4 linked regions of the Drosophila melanogaster genome follow. The protein of the gene in region 1 interacts with the protein of each later gene in a pairwise test. Each region holds a gene or a part of one and is shown in the gene's direction. Other genes may lie near its edges. The genes, in order: Cyp9f2, CG12768, bys and san.

Evidence for each region.
Region 2: the proteins of Cyp9f2 (region 1) and CG12768 interact in a two-hybrid assay, tested with the Drosophila melanogaster proteins (one large-scale study listed by BioGRID).
Region 3: the proteins of Cyp9f2 (region 1) and bys interact in a two-hybrid assay, tested with the Drosophila melanogaster proteins (one large-scale study listed by BioGRID).
Region 4: the proteins of Cyp9f2 (region 1) and san interact in a two-hybrid assay, tested with the Drosophila melanogaster proteins (one large-scale study listed by BioGRID).

Annotation. Positions count from the first base shown.
Region 1 is NT_033777.3:12,402,142-12,408,366, reverse strand, and holds Cyp9f2 (cytochrome P450 9f2), read left to right. Parts: upstream 1-2,338; 5' UTR 2,339-2,458; coding exon 2,459-2,664; intron 2,665-3,477; coding exon 3,478-3,997; intron 3,998-4,058; coding exon 4,059-4,716; intron 4,717-4,773; coding exon 4,774-4,940; 3' UTR 4,941-5,027; downstream 5,028-6,225. Other genes in the region: CG5167 (uncharacterized protein), read right to left, coding at 348-1,643; Sol1, read right to left, coding at 5,487-5,829, 5,886-6,087, 6,157-6,225. UniProt on the Drosophila melanogaster protein: May be involved in the metabolism of insect hormones and in the breakdown of synthetic insecticides.
Region 2 is NT_037436.4:22,907,941-22,914,100, forward strand, and holds the start of CG12768 (uncharacterized protein), read left to right. Parts: upstream 1-2,550; 5' UTR 2,551-2,632; intron 2,633-2,892; exon of another isoform or gene 2,893-3,211; intron 3,212-3,649; exon of another isoform or gene 3,650-3,815; intron 3,816-3,893; 5' UTR 3,894-3,985; coding exon 3,986-4,293; intron 4,294-5,323; coding exon 5,324-6,160.
Region 3 is NC_004354.4:7,899,736-7,905,024, forward strand, and holds bys (by S6), read left to right. Parts: upstream 1-2,144; 5' UTR 2,145-2,256; coding exon 2,257-2,385; intron 2,386-2,449; coding exon 2,450-2,567; intron 2,568-2,631; coding exon 2,632-3,424; intron 3,425-3,480; coding exon 3,481-3,600; intron 3,601-3,662; coding exon 3,663-3,813; 3' UTR 3,814-3,908; downstream 3,909-5,289. Other genes in the region: RpS6 (ribosomal protein S6), read right to left, coding at 19-554, 1,068-1,272, 1,508-1,513. UniProt on the Drosophila melanogaster protein: Required for processing of 20S pre-rRNA precursor and biogenesis of 40S ribosomal subunits.
Region 4 is NT_033778.4:11,357,898-11,362,803, forward strand, and holds san (separation anxiety), read left to right. Parts: upstream 1-2,808; 5' UTR 2,809-2,927; coding exon 2,928-2,935; intron 2,936-3,061; coding exon 3,062-3,385; intron 3,386-3,617; coding exon 3,618-3,840; 3' UTR 3,841-3,974; downstream 3,975-4,906. Other genes in the region: CG12384 (uncharacterized protein), read right to left, coding at 219-374, 439-527, 1,061-1,106; ix (intersex), read right to left, coding at 1,622-2,188; Gr47b (gustatory receptor 47b), read left to right, coding at 4,003-4,906. UniProt on the Drosophila melanogaster protein: N-alpha-acetyltransferase that acetylates the N-terminus of proteins that retain their initiating methionine. Has a broad substrate specificity: able to acetylate the initiator methionine of most peptides.

The DNA of each region.
Region 1 (6,225 bases):
AGGTAAACAACGAAGGCAGCCAACAGCGGTATCGATAACCAAACTAATCGAAACAAAACTGTGTCGGTGTGACCGTGCCTGCAAATACTTGGAAACCCAAGAACCAGTTGGAGCACTATTTTTAAAAGAAGTGGAACCGAACTGGTTATAGTAATAAACACATATATAAATATTAATTCTTCCCTGAAATAAATAATAATTATTTGTGAGTAAGCTAATGGCACAAATTAGTTAATCAATAGGTAATGCAAACGTAAATCCAAATTTCATATTAAGATAAATATATTTAACATACATACATACATATATGTATTTTTAATAACATCGAATGCACCTCATTAAAGACACTATTTGTTGGCCACGATTTCAAACTTAATGCCGTGCTCGTGCTTCTCCAGCTCGCTGATGAGACTGGTGCCACGGAAGGCTGCTCCGGGTGGCAGGACTCCGCCGGATCCGGGCATCTTGTCGCTTTCGTTGAGGATGGTCTTCGCCGTGGAGAGCAGTGCAACGCAAGTGGATCCATAGCCGGGATTGGGACCCGTAACCCTCACGGTCAGTGTCTTTGTGGGCGGAGAGGTGTACTGATCGGTGGTCTCGGCTAGTTTTTCGGACTTGGGCCAGCCTGTGGCCTTCATGGTCATTCTGAAGAAGGAGCGCTCCATCCGCGCCTCACTGGGACCCTCGCGGGAAGCCATGCCGCCGGAGAAGACGGTGGGGTACTTAAGCAGCAGCTGGCGGCCAAAGGAGAACTTGGCCATAATGCCAATGATAGAGGCGAAGAGCACGACAACGCTGGCCGCAAACCATGAGGGATACGTCATGTAGGCCTGCATCTGAACGGGTCGCTTCTTCTCCAGTTCGTAAAGGAAACGCTGCGAGCGCATCACCACCGAGCGATCTGTTTCAGGGAACGGCAGGATCACCTTGTTGTCCACTTCCGCGGCACGGGAAAGCGGCGATCGTGACTTAAGAGCCGGATGAAAGTTGGGCAGACGCTCGGGAAACAACTTGCGCCGGATGGCCACAGACTCGCTCCGGTTGGCGATAGCGTGAATGGCGCTCTCCCAGGTGCCGGTGTTGAGTGCAGCACTGCCCGTTCCCTTGGTACCTCCCTTGACGCCCAGATGGACAAAGTTCTCCACTGAGTTGACCACGCCGTCGAAGTTCTTCTCCACGAAGGTGACTCCCATGTCGGCGGGAATGGAATCAAAGCCGCACGCACTGATCACGTACACGCCACGCTCCTTGGCGAGATCATGGTAGCGCAGCTGCATGGTTTCCATGTACTGTGGCTCTCCGCTTACGTCTACGTGATGCGTTCCCGCCTCGATGCAAGCCCTGACCACTCGCTCGCCGAAGAACCGATATGGTCCGGCCGTATTGACTAAAATGCGGCAGCGTTTGGCCATCTCTAGCAGTGACGCCTCGTTGTTCACGTCCGCGATGACGATCGGCGTTTGGGAGAGGTCTGTCTTGGACTTTGCACCCATCTCCCGCAGCACCGACTGCAGCTTCTCCTGGTTGCGTCCGGCGATGCCCCATTGCAGGCCCTTCAGCACGCTGACAGCCTCGAAGACGGTGTACTTTCCGGTAAACCCGGAGGCACCGAAGATTATGGCATCCAGTTTCTTAGCCGCCATTCCAGAGTCCACAGATATGCGACTATAATGATTTGACTAGAAATGTCTTATCACTTCCAGACCGAAAGGTAATTCGTCTGCTTCGGCCGACTGGCGAAATGTTAATAATGCTAATCGCACCGTATAAGAGCTGTATTTATTGAAGATAGTAGCGTCGTGACTGTACAAAACTGAATCGAACAGGTAAAGATCGATTGCAGATAGCAACAAGTGGCTAGTAACTCGGATAATGAAGTTGAAATGAAATAAAATATTTTTACTAGAAACTATTGAAAATGAAAATGCTTTGCGTCCTTTTTTATCGATGATAATTTAATTTATGGTGATGATGGTTTAATTTACATCCTAATACTTAAAATCCCTCAGATCAAATTGTTAGTTCTCGAACTACTACGCATAAACTTCGATAGCCAACAAGAAATCGATGAATTTTAAAACGATAAATTGGCCAAGTTTAAATATATGAATTTAATGAAGTTGTGTGCCATTAAAATAGAAAAAATATATATTAAAGAATTAGAAAACAGAATTTCGAAATATTCTGTTTCTATATTTTAAACATAATATTGGTATGCTCAGAGTCGTCAGCATTTTCTCCAACACGCCGTGATAATGAAATGATGAGTGATATTCTAAATCATTTGCGCTCAGAAATTTGTACATACTTGTGTGTATTACAGACAACAAGTATTTTATCAAATGCAGTACACGAAGCTTTGTTAGAAAGCTCTGCGTGGGGACAACAAAACGCTCCCGATTGTTTGTGGCGTAGTTAGTTATATTCTGGACGCTTAGATCGCCAAGCTAGGGTCAACATGTTGTGGGAGTTCTTCGCCCTATTTGCGATCGCTGCCGCCTTGTTCTACCGTTGGGCGTCCGCCAACAATGATTTCTTCAAGGATAGGGGCATCGCCTATGAAAAGCCAGTGCTCTACTTTGGCAACATGGCCGGCATGTTCCTGCGGAAGAGGGCCATGTTTGACATAGTCTGTGATCTCTACACCAAAGGCGGAAGTAAGAAGTGAGTTAAATTCATTGATCCGGATTTAATAAGTTGATTACCTAATATGCATCCGGCTCACTTGCACTTGCACTTAAAACACGTTTGGAACAAGTGTGTATCTACTGGCCTCCAGCATTGCGTACAAGCCTATATAAAATCGTATGTCAAGGTCAGGCAATCAGTGATCTATCTATACACACATTTAGTGGGTGCGGCTGCGTTCGACTACGTTTTGAATATACAATTACAGAAATTCAGAAATACTCTATTATATTTTGTTAAGTCTTTTATCTAAAGCAGTGTGTAACTGCCAAGATAATTGGCGAAATGCTTGGTTCTATTAGTTTAGTTTGCCATAATCTTATCGATTATACGACAGCTTTAAATGTTGTTTGTCTCGGACGGCAAACTTGATAGGAAAAATAATTGATAAAGCTCCTGAAAAGTGCTATAACGATAAGGTTATCTAATTTATTAATTAACTTCATATTGGGGCAACTCTTTGTATGACTTTACCCTTTTTGTTACTTTATAAACATGCAATCATTATTGTACTCAGCCTTTTCAATTGGATTTAATGTACATATGATTTATTTATAGACCAATACGAGAAATCCGCTTTATAAATTTATAGTTTTCCAAAAAGAAATCGAGATGGGTTAATTGAAAATTCGTCGGATAGGTAATGAACAACGCTAGCCATGCATAAACTCGAATTTCTGTTATCGTTTTCTAAACTTGTTGAGCGCACGATTAATAATTTCTGATTTGATTTATCAGTGTGTGACTCACAAAAAGCTTATCGGTCATTAACATTATTATTTTTTTTAGATTTTTTGGTATCTTTGAGCAGCGACAACCACTTTTAATGGTGCGCGACCCAGATCTTATCAAGCAGATAACCATAAAGGACTTCGATCACTTTATCAATCATCGCAATGTGTTTGCCACCAGCAGCGATGATGATCCACATGACATGAGTAACCTTTTCGGCAGCTCGCTGTTCTCCATGCGAGATGCTCGGTGGAAGGATATGCGAAGCACTCTGAGTCCGGCATTTACAGGCAGCAAAATGCGTCAGATGTTCCAGCTGATGAACCAGGTGGCCAAGGAGGCCGTGGACTGTCTTAAGCAGGATGATTCAAGGGTTCAGGAGAATGAACTGGACATGAAGGACTACTGCACACGATTCACCAATGATGTGATCGCCTCGACAGCCTTTGGACTGCAAGTGAACTCGTTCAAGGATCGCGAAAATACCTTCTATCAGATGGGAAAAAAGCTGACCACATTTACATTCCTGCAGAGCATGAAGTTCATGTTGTTCTTCGCATTGAAGGGTCTTAATAAGGTTGGCACAGCATACACACATATCAAAAAAATATATTCCTTAATTTTAATAATCCTTGTAGATCCTTAAGGTCGAGCTTTTCGATAGGAAAAGCACTCAGTATTTCGTGCGTCTGGTGCTCGATGCTATGAAATACCGACAGGAGCACAATATTGTACGTCCCGACATGATAAACATGCTGATGGAGGCTCGTGGTATCATCCAGACGGAGAAGACCAAGGCATCTGCCGTTCGCGAGTGGAGCGATCGCGACATTGTCGCCCAGTGTTTCGTGTTCTTCTTTGCTGGCTTCGAGACTTCGGCGGTGCTGATGTGCTTCACCGCTCACGAGCTAATGGAGAACCAGGATGTGCAGCAGAGGCTATACGAGGAGGTACAGCAAGTGGACCAAGACCTGGAGGGCAAAGAACTGACCTATGAGGCAATTATGGGCATGAAGTATCTGGATCAGGTCGTCAACGAGGTTCTGCGAAAGTGGCCGGCGGCAATTGCCGTCGATCGAGAATGCAACAAGGATATCACCTTCGATGTGGATGGCCAGAAAGTCGAGGTCAAGAAGGGCGATGTCATCTGGCTGCCTACATGCGGCTTCCATCGTGATCCCAAGTACTTTGAGAACCCTATGAAGTTCGATCCGGAACGTTTTAGCGATGAGAACAAGGAGTCTATTCAGCCATTCACATACTTCCCCTTTGGCCTGGGTCAACGCAACTGCATTGGTAAGTTGATTGATTCAAAATTGTTCTTCGAAAAAATGTAAAATGTATTTATTATAGGTTCCCGATTCGCTCTACTTGAAGCAAAGGCTGTTATCTACTATCTTTTGAAGGACTACCGCTTTGCCCCTGCCAAGAAATCCTGCATTCCACTAGAGCTCATTACTTCCGGTTTTCAGTTGTCACCCAAAGGCGGCTTTTGGATTAAACTTGTTCAAAGGAACTAATCTTATAAACGATCAAAATAATAATATGTTTTGTTGAATGTTATGTTTTAAAGAAGTTGACATTATTAAATTTAAACAATTAATGGTAATTTGTTTCTTTGTTTTTAATTTATACCAAAAATGATAAAAAGATAGCATATACTTATGTCGTGACTCTACAAAACTGAATCGAACAGGTAAAGATCGATTGCAGATAACAACGAGTGGCTCGTTTACACGGTAACTCTGATAATGAAGTTGAAATTAAATAAATAATTTTTACCAGAAACTATTGAAAATGAAAATGCTTGGCGGAGTTTTTATCGATGATATCACGTTTAATTTACATCCTAATACTTAAAATCCCTCAACTTAAATTGTTAGTTCTTGAACTACTACGCATAAACTTCGATAGCCAACATGAAATCGATTGCTTTTAAAACGATAATTTGGCCAAGATTAAATATTTAAATTTAATGAAGTTGTGTGCCATTAAAATAGAAAAAAATTATTAAAATTTATTAAAGAATTAGAAAACAAAATTTCGAAATATTTTGTCTCTATATTTTAAACATAAGATTGGTATGCTTTATAAGTGCATAAGATACATGCAATTAATTTGTTTACATTTGCAACCGGCTGAGTTGACGCTGTTGAGACGAAACTCTGCATGGAGGCATTATCCCGAAGATCGGTGATGGAATTATTCACTGAAACGGTTTCAAAGGTGTACAGGGCGCGGAATCCGATGGCCACAAAGCGATCATTGGAATGCAAGGTGACTCGAAAGAAACGTCCATCAGAACGCATTTCAAAATCGGGAAGCTTTCCGCAGTATCTGCTGAACTTTCGATCCGTGCTCATGAAATTGGAAAACTCGATGTAATCGCTGGCGGTTTGGTGGTCACAACTGCACAGAAAAGGGGATTAAACATTTTTAGGTGATAGTTTAGATAAAGATCTTACCTTCCAATGCCCTCGATATCGAAATATGTGAAGTGAAGCACAACTCTTTCGTCACTTGCTCCGTAGAAATAATAATTGCACACAACATTTTCCAGGTAATATCCGGGAAAATTCGGAGAGTGAAATAGGCCACTTATTCGCTCGCTGCTATTGTAGACAAAGGAACATCCTTCCTTTTGAATCCCCGACATGATACCAAAATCTTGAAAATAAGCCAATTTTTAAATAAATATCAGTCTTTATTTGATTAAGACTCAGTGGAAACACTTACTGGTTAAGAAACGGTACTCCGCGCGAAATCCGTAGTATTGCACCTTGTTCGTCATTGTGGGCGGATATT
Region 2 (6,160 bases), on another chromosome or scaffold:
AAAGGCCAACATGACAAAACCAATTAGATTAGGAATTCATCTCCCTGATACCTACCAATCTATAACCCCAAATTATCGAAAACATTACCGATGATACCAAACACTGTAAAAACTATTATGTACCCAGAAGAGAAGAGAAGAAAAGAGATATCACAAAAATCGTGAGGCTACGTAGGACACACCAGACTGACCCATGAGCATCGATTCTCCCAGCCAATCAACCGTCAATGCAATACGTACCGAAATCAATTTCCCACATCCTAGACGATTGCATCGCCCTCCAAACACATGGATCCAGAAAACCAGAATTCAAACCAAAATGCTGTGGCACAAAGATCAAACATAATACTACCAAAATTGCTTCACTTGGGTGAAAAGTGAATCCTCGAACATATCTGGGATATCGATAGATATTGGGGAATAAAAGGAGGACAATTTAAAAATTGTGACCGTTTTGGTCGATTTGTAGGTTTTAGGGCGTTAGAGTGGGCGTGGCAAAAGGTTTTTTAGCAAATCAATAGAAATTTTCAAGACTAATAAAATTATATAGGCATGGCTGTTTTGTACGTTAGGGTTTTAGAGTGGGCGTGGCAAAAATCGATACTCGAAAATATACTTTATATGGTTGGAAACGCTTCATTCTGCCTATTACATACTTTTCAACGAATCTAGTATACCCTTTTACTCTACGAGTAACGAGTATAATTATCTTAATATATCTTAATATCTCCTTTATAAAGGTGTTAATTTTGTGCACAAAAAGTGGGTAAATTTCCCATAGTGCAATGGAAACACCATTAAAGCGTCGTGTAAAAAAGTTGGTCAATTTTTTCTAATGGTTTGTACTGTTCCGGGATGGCACAACAACTTGGAATCACATTTATAAGTTTTTTTTGTGAATTGAAAAACTAAACTTAAATCGCAAATACATATATCAATAGAACAATATGAATGTTCTTACTACGTAAAATAATAGGCAATTTTCCCTGGCCCCTAACGGAACCGAAGTCGCCCTACTCAGCTGATTTTATCCCAATCTGACACGCCCGTGACATGCTGTTGCCTATCCGAAAATATTTGTGTACCACGGATTACATTGCAGTAATGGATTTAATTTAAGCTGTGGACCGCGTTCGACTCAACTGCAGATTCATCAGCGCCGAGAACGCATACTGATAAGTCGAATCAGAATCAGACAAAGCGGTATGCTGCGTTCTGCTGAAAAAGGAAAGGGAGAGCGAAAACACGGATGGCTGTGTTGGTGCGATTGATAAATACGAGTTCATTCTTAAAGCTTATTTTTTAGATGACCAAGCGGGAGACAACAACGAGTAAACAAGAGCAACAGCAACAGCGGGCAATAAAGTTGATTGCAGCAGTGGCAAATTGAATATTTGCCAGCGCGCGTGTGTGTGTGCGCAGCCTTTTTGTTTGTGCTTGTTCGCATTGTTAAATATCCGCACCAGCAGTGCAGCCAAATGGGATGATAGATGCCGAATGCCGAATGGCGCGCGAGCAGAGCGAGTGGCTACCATTGTTAATCCGCAGTTCGTCCTCTGTGCCCCTTGCCTCCTCCCTCGCTCATTCCTGTGCCACAGCTCAGCTTGCTACCAAAACTCGACCTCGACTTCATCCCTTGCTCTCTCGGAACTCTCATGCTCAAGCTGTTGCTTCAGCTACAGCTCAGCGTACAATTGTTGCTTTGCGGAGACTGCGCTCATTGCCGGGTGCTGCCAATCCTGGGTGCAATCCGTTCATTATTTATCCGGCTGGTGGTAAGCAAATAGCGCTCACAAGCCACTTAGTGCTATCACTCTTGGATTAATCACTGGGCACGGCTCGGCGATAACGTGTCACTGCCACAAACGGAACCGCAACGGCGATAAATATTTTTCACAGCGAAAATAACACTGCCTAACAAAGTTTGAAACACTGTGACTAGAACATTTCCAAACTTCAGCTATTTCTTCAGCTATCAGTTATATATTTTAGAATAGATAAACAGAATATATATAATGCCATTTATGTAATGATTTCGATGAATAGATAGATGGCTAATATTTTACCGGTACTCCACCAAGGTGTTTTAAAGAAGACGGCTTTAAAGGTTTCCTATAATATACATTTTTTTATTAAATTTCATTTTATTTATTTTAAAATGCGTCCCGTTTGAGTGGAGGATATGTCTAATATAGTCCTAAATAGATACCAAGTAAATATCTTTTCGTATCACTCCACACACACACAAAAAGTTGAGTTTATAATTACATTATTCACGCAGCCCTCTAGGCTCCCTCACTATGCCAATTTCTTTTGTTGTGTAGTGTAATAGCATAGGATTGGCAGCCTCCGATTGTTTACACCAGCGTAGGCGGCACTGCAACAACAACAATAGCATCCTCTGCTCTCATTCTCTCTCCCGTGCTTTGCGCTCTGGAGCGGAGCAGAAAAGAAAAGCGCCATTCGCTCACTTTCTCTCCGGCTCTCTTTGTGCTGCTGCGCCAATTTGCAAGAAAACTAAGTTGGTTTGCTGTGCAGTTGTGACAATCGTCGAGGAGAGCAGCGGCGCACTCTCTAAAAGGAAGCTGCCAAGCCAACGAACGGCCAAGCGAGAGGTGACAAGTGAAAAGTGGCAAGTGGATGTACCAAATAGTGACAGGTTCACTAGTAGTAATCGCAAGTTAGCTGCCCGTTTGGCTGCAGATTTTCGTCAAAGTTCGCTATTCGTGTTGTTTTTTGATGTTTTCGTCTCTCTCGGCTGTCCGCATAGGCAATGTGTGTATACATATACGCGATTTCACACTGACAACAGGGCCGGGCGCGTGTATGAGTGTGGTTATTTTGCCGTGTTGCCGAACATCTGTATCTGTATCTGAATCTGTGGCAGCCAATAGTTGTGGCAAGGCCCTCGAGCAACTCGCAACACAACACATAACAACAGCATCCCCAATAAGTGGCAGCAACTACGCCGCATGGCAAAGCACCAACGGCCGCATTTGTTGTTAATTGAAATAAATTGAAATAAATTCCCCGACTTTGCTGCTCATATTGTTAATAAAGAGAAGCCGGAGCGACGCAACAGCGAATCAGCAGCAGTAAACAAAACTGTGAGCAAAAGGTTTTAGTTCCATTCCAGGCGTCAGACGACTTTGAGTACAAGCGACAAACAACCAGAACATCTAAGGAATTCCGAGCGAACAATGTGAATAATGTTGGTATCACAAGCAATTGGTGGCAATAACCAAAAAGAGCACATGCGTTTATTTATAGACCCCAGTGTGTTCCCATTAGTGAGTGTGTGGCGTGCTGTGCACTGCAAATGAGTTCAAGCTGCAGCCAAAGAGAAGGAGGCGTCCTACCAATACCAATCCTTGTGTAGTCTTGTTCCCTCCACAATCAGATCGGTCGCAGACCAACAGTAGCAGCTGAAATTCCTCGATCGGCACACGAAATCGTATGTAAATACTTTCCTGCCGAGTCAGCCTCTCAGAATGCCAATGTTTACAGTATTCGATTATTGTTTAACTAACAGCCTCTTATGGGAAAGTGGAATACATACATTAATTGATGGGGGAGGTGGGGGTTGGGGTTTGTAGGGTCTGCTATAAGCAGATTTCCCGTATTTGATTTGTCCCCTCTGTTGTCTCAGTTTCAGTGGGACCCATACTCCCGAAAATCAATTGTATTTAACTGTGCGTATGCGATTTCGAAAACAAAAACACCCCTCCTGCTGGGGTCATTGCACCCAAGGTGCGTGGGTGCGTGTGTCAACACTTTTGAACCCCTAAGCACCCACCCGAGAAATACGCCGAAAAGTATGCAACGAACATGGCGACCATCAGCACAAGCAACTTTAACGATTTTCTCACCTCATTTCTATACTTACTTTGCAGCGCAGCATCCGGCGACACAGGACATGCGCAGTGGCCTTTTTGGTAGTTGCATTTCGGCCAACAGCGACTGAAAGAGCAGAGAGCGGAGGAGCATGGCCTTTTCCCGCCACAACATCGAGAAGCGCCGACTCATCGAGCTCGTGCGACTCAACCCAATCCTCTGGGACTGCCGCCTGCCACACTACAAGCGTTCGGACAAGCGAAAAGCCATCAAATGGAACGAGTTGGGGCGGCTCTTCAACGTTAATGGCGAGCGGGTGCAGCGCACGTTTACTTCGCTCCGCGAGATCTTCCGCCGCGAGCTGAACCACGAAAAGATGCTGGGCACCACGCGCTTCAAGTCCAAGTGGGAATACTACGATGCCATGGCCTTCCTCAAGGAGGTCATTCGGGAACGCAAGTAAGACGACGTTTGACCTGCCCTAAAATACTACCTTATGATATATGTAGATCCCGTTTAAGGGATTTTGGACATTCCAGTTATTTGTTCTAGTGTCTTTGGAAAAAGGGTTTACTAAATTCGTTGAAAAGTGTGTAACAGGTAAAAGGAAGCGTTTTCGACCATATAAGGTACATATATATATTTCTGAACAGGATCAATAGCCAAGCCTCGAGCTCAGGAACTATAAAATACCACACTTTTGAAAAATGTTTTCATTTTTCTTGGTTTCATTTTTTTTATCTTACCGATATACCAAAAACACTTTGGCTACGCCTCTTCTGAAAAATTCAAACCGCTCACAACAATTTTAATTCCCCAATATCTATCGACAAGCAAGGAAAATTATAGAATTTCGCGTTCGCACTAGCTGAGTAACGGGTATGTGATAGTCGGGTTTTCGACTACAGCAATTGTGTTCCGATTATAATCACTGAAAAAGTTGTTTGAGCAAATTCGGAGAGAGGTGACCGCGAAATAATCACCGTCACTTAAAAGCCTAAACATATTTACATATTCAACATTTAGATTTTGATTTTACGCGATTTTTAAGTTTTTATTGTTATAAGAAGAATGATTAGTGTAAGGGATTGGGAATATAAATGTCGAGATAGTTCTCAAAATAATACGCAAGTCACCTTCCTCGGTTACAATAAATTTACATTGATTTTACTGAAATCAAATCAAATAAAAACTAGTTAAAGAAAATAACTGTTGTCTACCGAATAAGAACAATGACGCAGATAAGAATATAAATGTCTAGATAATTCACAAGGATTGTGTGCAAGTCAAATCTAAATTTAAGCATTTAGGAAGGGTATACATAGAAATTCTATTAAAACTTTGAATTTGTTTCATGTGGTCGGTCCAGAACTGACCAACAGGCAAGAATGAAATGCATGCCTGCGGATCTGCATCATAGCACCTATCTGCTAACCTTGAGGCAAGCACCCGCTTTCCAAAAAAGCTAATTACAACTTTTGCTTTTTAGATCTCGCGAGCGCATCAAGCACGGCTCTTTGGATTCAGCACCAGTAGCCACAGGCAGCAGCAACAATAACAACAACTGCGTAAGCCGCAATAGCAGCAACAACAACAGCAGCAGTGCGGCCCTAGACGAATATCAGTACTTTGCTCCTAGCGACCCCAACAACCCGAACAATCAGCCCCAGCTGCAGCCCGAACCAAAGAGTAGTCTGCCAGTGACTATTCCCAGTCTAAGTCTCACCCTCAGCCAGTTGCCGGTGGCTCTGCAGCAGCAGGCCCAGCATCTCCAAGCCTTACAGTTGCAACCGGACGTGACGCTGACTTCCCTGCAGAAACAATCTTTACCCACTTCCCTTACCAATGCCACACCCGCGCCCTTAGCACAAACCTCGCCCGCCCAGGTGCTGTCCAGCTCGCGCTCATGCAGCTCTTCGCCCTCCATCTATATAAAGGACGAGCCGTGTTCTCCGGCAGGGGGTTGTCCGGAAGAAGTGATGACCGGAAATGGACCAGAGGCGACAAGGAAGAAGCTGGCCACAATTCGTCCGCAGACCAAACAGCAACTTAAAGCGCGTCTGCAGCTGCCCACGCCCAAAAACTCATCATCGTACGCTACGTCGCCGCCCCATTTGATCATCAATGCCAACAACGAGCTTATTGACACCGACGCCGGGGACCTGGAGGAGGATCTGGACGACTTCGACGAGGACGACGACGTGACCGGACGCTGCTCACCAATCGTCGGCCAGTCGGAGACGATGGGTGCCGACGGCAGACTTTCGGTCGGAAGCATTTATATCGGTGACGGTGGCGACTGCGGAAGGGGTATGGGTAGAGCCCA
Region 3 (5,289 bases), on another chromosome or scaffold:
GGTTCCGTGTCGCGGTGTTTACTTCTTGTCGCTGGAGACAGAGCTCTTGGACTCGCGAATGGAGGCAGAACGGCGGCGCTTGGCCTCCTCGCGCTTGGCCTTGGACTCCTTCTTGCGCTGCACCAACAGCTTGGCGTAGTCGGCGGAAGCCTCCTTGGAAGCGATCTGGCGCTTCTTCTTCAGCGCAATGCGACGGTGCTTGCGCTGCAGCACAACGGGGGTGATCAGGCGCTGAATTTTGGGGGCCTTGGAGGTGGCCTTCTTGTTGTCCTTGGCGGGCAAAGGGCGACGCACAACGAAGCGACGCACATCATCTTCCTTGCTCAAGTTGTAGAGCTTGCGGATCTTGCTAGCACGCTTGGGTCCCAGGCGACGTGGGATGGTGGTGTCGGTGAGACCGGGAATGTCCTTCTCACCCTTCTTCAAGACGACCAGAGCCAGCACAGACATGTTGGCGTCCACGATGCATCCACGCACAGACTTGCGCTTACGCTCGCCAGTGCGGCGTGGACGGTAGCAGGAGTGTCCCTTCTTCAGGAGCAGACGCACACGGCCTGTTGGAAAAGATGATTGCTTTTTGTAGTAGTTTCTTGAGAGCAGTCCATGGATATGAGCAGTGATTGGAAAGTTATTATCTGGTTAGCCATTAGCCATTCGGGTGTAAGGAAATGTGTTTGCAAATACTTAAGGAAATTTATCCTACTAATTGTTTGCTCATCTTTGGAACGTACTCCAATCACATATAGTAAATTACTAGCTGCTAGCAACGTTGCAACTAAATTGTTGGAAATATTCGCTTTGTATTACTAAGAATCGAAAAACTCGCCACGAATATGCACAGAAGTATACACAGACGCTTCCATATTAAGGTTATGTTCTTTTAGATATATTATCACAAGACTGATCCAGGTTGCTAGGCTTTATTACAAATGCTTAAAAGGATTTCCATACGTTTCTTAATAGGAACCACTCTTTCAAGGCGTACAAAAGACTAAACCTATGCCGGCTAGCCAGATACAATCATTCACTGCTCAACACCATAATTGTAAATCGCATTGCAAACTTACCGTGGGTCAAGACACCCTGCTTCATGGGGAATCCCTGCTTGTCGTTGCCGCCGGCGATGCGCAGCTGGTAGCCCTTCCACTCGTCACCGAGGATATCGGCCTCCACAACCTGTCCCATACGCTTCTCGTAGAAGACGCGCAGCTTGTGCTCGTCGACCACTTCGAATAGCTTTTGGCATCCCGTCGCGGGATAGGAAACGTTGAGCTGGAACACACAATGCAAAAAAAAAAGTCACACACAATGCATAAACATACATATAAATGTATATTAAGTCGAATTGCAGCGGAGATAATATCATCCACTTATTTTAACGCAATCACTGGACATTTTCGCTTGCAATTTGTTTGATCACCGCGCCAATGCTTGCGCTTTAGCATTTTCGCAATATTTCACAAATTGATATAATTTATATCAGTATTATCACAAATTTTTAGCACACCTTCATATTGTCGGTCTGTTTGCACGCAACGCAGAAAAAAAAAGAAACGGCGGAGGTCTGTTGGCTGCGAGCGCAGGGTTGAAAAAGACCGATAGGAGGAAGTAGAGATGACAGATCGACCAGCTGTACCGCCGCATATCGATAGTTCGTGCTCACGGCGATATTTAATAATTTCTTTCGATGTAAAAACGTACCAAAATATGAAGTGGATTTATATATCCAACCTTCACTATAACATTAAAACTGAGACATAACAAATATTAAAAAGTAAATGAGTTTATTAAAACTATGAAGATCACTAAATTGTTTGTATTAATTAAAATTATAAGAATTATGCCAAATAAGTACGAAAATAACACTCGTTATTAATAATACACGAGAATGGAGATAATTGCACTGATTCATCAAACATGCTATATTGTGCGTTCTAAATATTTATTTATGCGACTTTTTAAATACATCTTGAAACGAATTATATCGGTACAATCGATTTCATAATAAACTTCAAAAACAATATATATAGATTTTATTGAATTACTGCATTCAATATCGTTTGCGCCACCATCCCTGGTCTCACAAGCCTATCGAAAAGCCAGCCCTGCGACGTTGCCACACGTGCGAAAATGTGTTTTGTTTTTCGATTCTTTCAAAATATCCGGTAACGCCACTGCTTTGTTGCAGCACGTGTAGTGATTACAATTTTTGTTGCCCTTATTATTACACTTGATTTTTGACAATATCCGAGCAAAATGGGTAAGCCGAAGAAGGCCAACGTGGCAACGATTAAAAATGTGAATCTGGAGAAGCAGATCACCGAGGGCAGGGTGGCGAAAAACAAGAACAAGGATAAAGTCAAACTGCGGGCCGAGGAATCGGCGGTAAGAATCCGGGTTTGAACTGCGTTTTGTGTTTTTAAACAAATTCTTTCCTATTTGAACACAGAACATCGATGCCAGAAGTAGTCAAAAGATCCTGGCCGCGGCCAAGCTGCAGCAGTTGGAGCTGGACGAAGAGAACTTTCCCAGTCTGGTGACCGTCAAGAAAGTCAACTTCAGTTTGAGTAAGTGCGCCCTAAGTTTCACTATCCTAAGCTAAGCTAACCAACATTACCTGTCCTTACTTAGATGATGGCCATGTCAAGGAGGATGAAGAGGTCAACGAGACTGACCTCATGGCCGACCTGGACATGGACGAAGACGATGTGGCCGCGTTCGAGCGCTTCCAGCAGCCAGCACAGGAGGGCAAGCGTACGTTGCACCTGTCCAAGATGATCATGCAGAAGATCCAGGAGAAGGAGGCCGACATACACACTAAGATCTCTGACGAGGGCTCACTAAAGATCGAGGAAATCGACCCGAAAGTGAAGGAGATGTACGAGGGCGTGCGCGATGTGTTGAAACGCTATCGCAGTGGCAAGATCCCTAAGGCCTTCAAGATCATACCCAAGCTGCGCAATTGGGAGCAGATCTTGTTCATCACTGAGCCCCATAATTGGAGCGCTGCCGCCATGTTCCAAGGCACCCGCATCTTCTGCTCGGTGCTGTCGCAGGCAATGGCCCAGAGGTTCTATAACCTGGTGCTCCTGCCACGAGTTCGTGATGATCTCTGCGAATATAAGAAGCTCAATATGCATCTGTACAATGCACTGAAGAGGGCTCTCTTCAAGCCGGCTGCCTTCATGAAGGGAATCATTCTGCCGCTGCTCGAGGGCGGCGATTGCACATTGCGCGAGGCCATCATTTTCGGCAGTGTGGTGGCCCGCAGCTCTATTCCCGTCCTGCACTCCTCCGCCTGCCTGCTGAAGATCTGTGAGATGGCCTATTCGGGAGCTAACTCCATATTCATCCGTTACTTTCTGGACAAGCGGTATGCTCTGCCTTATCGCGTCGTGGATGCCGCAGTCTTTCATTTTCTAAGGTTGGTATTCTCACTACAATGCCTTTTAGAAATCGAAATAACATGGTTTCTTGCAGATTCGAGAACGACAAGCGTGAGTTACCAGTGCTATGGCACCAGAGCCTGCTCACCTTTGCCCAGCGATACAAGAACGATATATCCTCCGAACAGCGGGATGCACTGCTGCAGCTGCTCAAGTAAGTAAATCGAATGCTATTGAAACCCTAGAACTGTTAGTAACTGTAAATCACAATTGCAGAAAGAAGAGCCATTTCAAGATTACACCCGATGTGAGAAGGGAGCTCCAGGCGGCCAGTTGTCGCGATGTGGAAATGATGGAGACGGATAATGGCCTGGCTGGGCAGCCAGCCAAGATGTACACAGATGCCGATGTGGAGTACGAGGGCTGAGGCGGTGTAAATTAAGGATAACTTTAAGATGATATTGTTTTACTATTTAATATCGGATAGTCGTTAAATATGTAAATATACCTACATATGCAGTGAAAATCAAATGCAGATGTTTATTCTGTGGGAAAATGAAAGCCACTTCAGATGTTTTGAATGTTTTAATAGAAAAAACAAATGTGTGTGTTTGTGTGTGGTTTTTTTTTTATACAATTTTGCATTAAGTTTTAGTTGCTTTTGGTTTTTTGCTTGACAATGACGGTATCTTTTGGCGCCGTCGCAGTCGCATCGGCCATATTGACCAGACGCCCGCGTTATACATTATGTATGTATGTAGTTTTATAATCTCAATTTTAAATGTAGTAATTATTAAATATAATTCTGTAACCAAAATCTTTCTAAAAGTTTCGTTTCGTCACTTTTTATTAGTCTCTAAGTATTGTTTCGTTATCTCACTCCAACATTTGTCTTGTTTTGTTTTGTTTTGTTTTATTCTGTTCTGTTTTTCATTTGTGTTATTTAAGGGCATACTCCAAGGACCGATTCGGGTCGGGATCAATTTGAATAATTTACAATAACTACACTGGACCATTTGAAATTAGTTTACCCAAGTACTTAGGCCTCAAGCCTTATCAATAATTTCGTTTCTTAAATTTGCTTACTTCTGTTTTTTTCCGTTTTTTTTTTTGTGTGTTTTCAAGCTGAGCTTTGATTTCGAAATACAATTTGTAAAGAGAGCGTGGGTATGTTTGTATATAATAACCGATCTTAAAAGCAATATGAATTTGGAATGCCGTCAGTGAGTAAGGATATCGAAAGTTTTTCGGGGCTTTAAATACATAGGCGATGATCGTTTGAAGCGAAAGCTAAAGCCTTAGACATAAACTGATATACTCGCATGTGGGGGAAGGGTACAGTGAGCATTGGCTATGTGCATACCGAATGAAGGGTCCGCACCTTACGCCCAATTCGAGAAATGAAAGTGGCAAGTATTCATTTGCTTCTTGTTCTTGATCGTGATTTATTTCGTTTAATTGAATTACTTTTAGGGATTACGGTTTTGGTTTTCGATTTCAATTTCGATTTTGATTTTGGTTTTTAGGGACCGTTTTCAATCAAAGAATCAAGTATTTACCCATTGGTCCGAGTTGTGTTGTGTTTTCGACTTGAAAAAGATACAAATATACAATTAATTGGTTTTGCCTCAAATGGTCATTGGTTCCGCAACCGAATTAACAACAATTAAACGATATGTATCCATTTTGAATGGCACAGTTTTGTTAACGTTAAACATTTCCTAAGTGTTTCTCATTTACATTTCTAGATCGTGGATAAACTGAGGAAAACCCAACTACTGATCAAGCTCACGCACATATAATGTTTCGAATTATTTAATAATTTAACAACCTCTCTAGCTCTCCTCCAGTTATCGATGCACTTAAGTATTCAAAAAATCTGAGACAAGGACATGGACAAGGA
Region 4 (4,906 bases), on another chromosome or scaffold:
TCTTGAAATCTATAAAAGGGATAAAGTTTATTACAAAATATTAACTCAGAAAATCAGCATTTTTAATTTATGGAATGCAGTGGCAAATGCATATATAAAATTAAAGAGTAAATATCGCATTCAAAGGCGATTTCAATACCATTGAGAGGACTCATAGAATTTCAACAAAAGATCAAAGAGATTAGATAATGATAATAGTTATTCCGCCCGAGTACGCATCACTTCCGTGGCTGCTGGATGTGGATCTGGGGCTTCTGCTGCACTGCAGCCGGTGGCTTGGGCGAGTGGGCCACCTGGGCGGAGGCGGGCGTAAAGTCCGTGTTGCCCTTGACGGGGGCACCGCTCACAGAGCCGGAGTTCACGGCAATGGGTTGCTTTAAAGGATTAGAGGATAAGTTAGTTTCCATTGAAAACCACATACTTATGTCAATAGCTCACTGTCAGTCCAGTACAATCCTCTGCATCCTTGGGCGCGCGTTCTGCCGTCGGCGCTTTGTGCTGCACAATTCGCATGCCACCAGCCTTCACTATAATTAAATAACAAAAACATATAGGGTTGGCAACAAATGAGGCTTGGCCACAGTAGCCGATTCAAGCCGTGTTTACGTAAAGCGGCTATTAAAAAGTAAGTAAGCCATACTAGTCGTCCAAAGTTGACATGTTATTATTTACATTGTACGAAGATGATTAAGTCAATGGCATTTTATAAACGTTAAGGATAAAATATAAGGCGTAAAAAGCTACTTTAAAAAGTAATAATTTCCTATTCAGTTAACGTTATTGTTTGAATTGCACGTGACGTCAGCATAAAGTACAAATACAAACATACATTTCTTGAAAGCTATGCGTTTGCTTGCCTGTGTTCGCTTATTTGTTTACTTATCAGCTTTGGCCGAAACAGGTTAAGATACTGATAAGGGCGCAGATATTCTGGCAATTGATTTGATTGGGTGCATTATTGATTGCCAACAAGGCAGTTTGTTCTTATAAGATTCAATTGCTGCCAAAAATCGAAAACTCGTCTGCATCGACACACACACACCAATGCAAGTGCACTTACATGCAGGTGGGTGTCCGGCCACAAGATTTGGTTGTTCATCTGCCATTTGTTCTGGTTTAGTAAGCTGAGGGTCGGAGAAGTTGAATAAATTAACGGCTTGTGCACAGTTAACAACAAAATGAGACCTTACCGCTTTTCTAGTTGTAAATAAATGCGCGGCACCGCTGTGTTTTGCTTTTGCGTTCTAATTGTGACACGTCCGACTGTTGTCTATCGAATTTTTAGCCTTTTCTCACTGGATGCGCAGTTACTCATCGACTGCTGCAACGCGTTCTCACTGCAAACATTTTCACAAATAGTGGTACACGAAATACAACTAGAATTTATTTTATTGCTCGATGTTTTTGTGTAACATGTTTTCTGTATGCAAACTAATGCCCACAAGCTATATTTATTTTATTATTTTCCCTTTTACTCTTCCGCCTGTAAAAACGTTGAGTATGGTAACACCATTTCGACTTTCCCAAACAAAGATCATTGTTATCTTATATCTAAGAATATTTATTTACTTAACTTAAGTGCATGCGTGTGAAATAATAAAACCTAATGCTACTACAACTATCAATCAGCCTGCGAAATGTTCTGCGCGGCACTAATCAGAGTGTCGTGTATATCCTTGGCGGACTGTATGTGAACGCGGACCGTGTTCAAGTAAGTGGGATACGAAATGGGGCCGGCGTTGTCCGGCATAAAGGTCTCCATGCGCATGGGAGTCACCGGACCGGGGAGATAGTGATTGGAGGAGTTCTGCTGCTGGAGGCACTGCATCGCCGTCTTCAAGTGGATCTCGATCTGGTCGCAACAGGCGTAAAAGTCTTCCAAGTGCTTGTCGAACCGCGGAACATGGTGGGCACCCGTGTCCCTCTTTAAGTTGTCCGCGAGATTGTTTTGCTGCAGCGCGAAGGCGCTCGACCGGATGGTGAGGAACATGGACTCCCGCAGTGGTCCCAGCAAACTCTTCACCCTGGAAATGTTGTCCAATTTTTCGGCCTGCTGCTGCTGCTGCAGTGGCTGTGGAGGCTGCTGCTGTTGATGCTGCACTGGTCCTGGGGGTCCCGATGGCGAGGATTGCATTACCTGCATCATTTGTGGCCCAGACATGGGCATCATGTTCATGTTGGGATTCATTTGGCACTCGAAATCGATGGATATTGGGGGAGAAAAATATTGAACAGCCGCGAATTGTTTTCTTTTTGTGAAGAAAAACCCGTTAGGAGATTTCTCACATTTGCGTTCGCGTACCCATGGCGAATATCGAATATAATATAAATATAACTAAGAGTTGCTAAAAAATACAAAAGTTGTACTGTAAATTTAAAAAATTCTTTAAAAAAAACTAGTTTAGAAACAAGGACTACCCAATATTTCATATTGTTACATACATAAAAGTGTATCTATAGCATAACTCACTACGAAAAAGTAGAGGTAACAATATGTTTTGAAATTAAAAGTTGGCCATTATTGAAAGTGTTCGTTCATATTCTAACTGTCAAACAAGTGATAGCTAATGTCAACCGACCGGAAAGAGCTGTCATCTCATTTAGTGTATGCGTATCCCAAATAAAAAACGATGTGTAATGTTTCATTTAGCATTGAGTGTTTTTAGTTCTGTTTTAATTAATTATTAGTTTTTGTTTATTGCTTAAAATAGTGTGAGCAAAAAAGTTTAGTTAGTAGTCTTAGATATGAAAATCAAATTTATCTTGCTATAAAATAGCTATTCTGGCCGGCGTCAATAACCGATAACGATAACTTGCGACCTGCAACCCGAACAATCAGGAACAGCTGAGGCGCTTAAAACACATTTTCCTATTACAATTTTCGGCGCAAAGCGCGTTGCTAAATCAACAGAAATCGTACAGACAACATGACTAGGTGAGTGGCTATCTTTGCCGGACCATTGGAGGATTGTGACTGCAGGAGATGCACCGGAATCATAACCTAAAAGTGCCGCTTGGGTCGGAAAAGCTAACCCATGTTCCTACCCTTTCCCGCTTGCAGGAGCAGCATCGAACTGGGCGACGTGACGCCCCACAACATCAAGCAGCTAAAGAAGCTCAACACCGTGGTTTTCCCGGTCTCCTACAATGACAAGTTTTACGTGGACGTCCTGGAGGCCGGCGAACTGGCCAAATTGGCCTACTACAACGACATTGTAGTGGGCGCCGTCTGTTGTCGCATCGACAACACTGAGAACCAGCGGCGCCTGTATATCATGACCCTAGGATGCCTCTCCCCGTACCGGCGCCTGGGCATCGGCACAGTTATGTTCGAGCACATTATGAACTTCGCCGAGAAGGACGGAAACTTCGACAGCATTTTTCTGTAAGAAAACTTATCATTAAGATTCGTGTGTTTTCGACACACCCCTGGGGAGCAATGTAGTTCGATTTTAATGTAACCTATAACTATTTAAGTGGGAAAGTTTAATTCCGGCCTATCTGGCTTATTTATCTATCCATTTAATACATAATATATATATTTTTGGCTAAGGAGGAAATAGGTTTATTTCGAAAATACTTTAGATCATGTTTTTTAATTCTGGTTATAATTTTAGACATGTGCAAATCAACAACAACGGAGCCATCGAGTTCTATAAGAAGTTTGGTTTCGAGATTGTTGACACCAAGGAGCAATACTATAAGCGCATCGAGCCGGCGGACGCTCATGTACTGCAAAAGACTCTGCGCCGCACTGCACCCAACTCAAACAGCACCGCCACCAGCACCACCGCGAACTCAAATTCACGTAGTAAAGCACGACAGTTCACATTTGTTTAAAGATGAATTTCAATATGTATAACAAACAGACATGTAGAGGCGGCCAAAACGATGTATTCAATTAGTCCGATCATATCTATGTGTAATCAATAATAATTACCCCTGCGCGGGAATAAATAGCTCTATACGGCTTGGCCAGTCGAAACTAACATTACTTGGGCAATGCAACGCGACGATGGCTTTGTCTACTGTTACGGAAACTTGTACAGCCTCCTGCTCTACTGGGGATTGGTCACAATCCGGGTGAGAAGTCCTGATCGTGGAGGTGCGTTTTCAAACAGGTGGACTGTGTGCTATGCCCTTTTCACGCGCTCCTTTATGGTTATCTGCTTTATGGCTACCGTGATGACTAAGCTGAGGGATCCCGAGATGTCCGCTGCCATGTTTGGACACCTTAGCCCGTTGGTCAAGGCAATATTCACCTGGGAGTGCCTCAGTTGCTCGGTCACCTACATTGAGTACTGCCTTTCGCTGGACTTGCAGAAGGACAGACACCTGAAACTCGTGGCTAGGATGCAAGAGTTCGATCGTTCCGTTTTGATGGTGTTCCCTCATGTTCAGTGGAACTATCGACGCGCTCGCTTGAAGTATTGGTATGGCACTGTGATTGTCGGCTTTTGCTTTTTCTCCTTTTCCATCTCACTGATCTTCGATACGACGCGTTGCACATGCGGCATACCGTCCACCTTGCTGATGGCCTTCACCTACACCTTGCTGACCAGTTCCGTAGGATTGCTGGGTTTCGTGCACATAGGTATTATGGACTTTATAAGGGTTCGTCTGCGTCTGGTGCAGCAGCTGCTTCACCAACTTTACCAAGCGGATGACAGTTCAGAGGTGCACGAAAGGATTGCTTATCTTTTCGAAATGTCCAAGCGCTGTTCGTTTCTCCTGGCGGAGTTAAACGGAGTTTTTGGATTCGCCGCAGCTGCTGGTATCTTTTATGATTTCACTATCATGACCTGCTTCGTGTACGTTATCTGCCAAAAGCTGCTGGAGAGAGAGCCCTGGGATCCCGAGTACGTGTACATGTTGCTGCACGTGGCCATACACACCTACAAAGTGG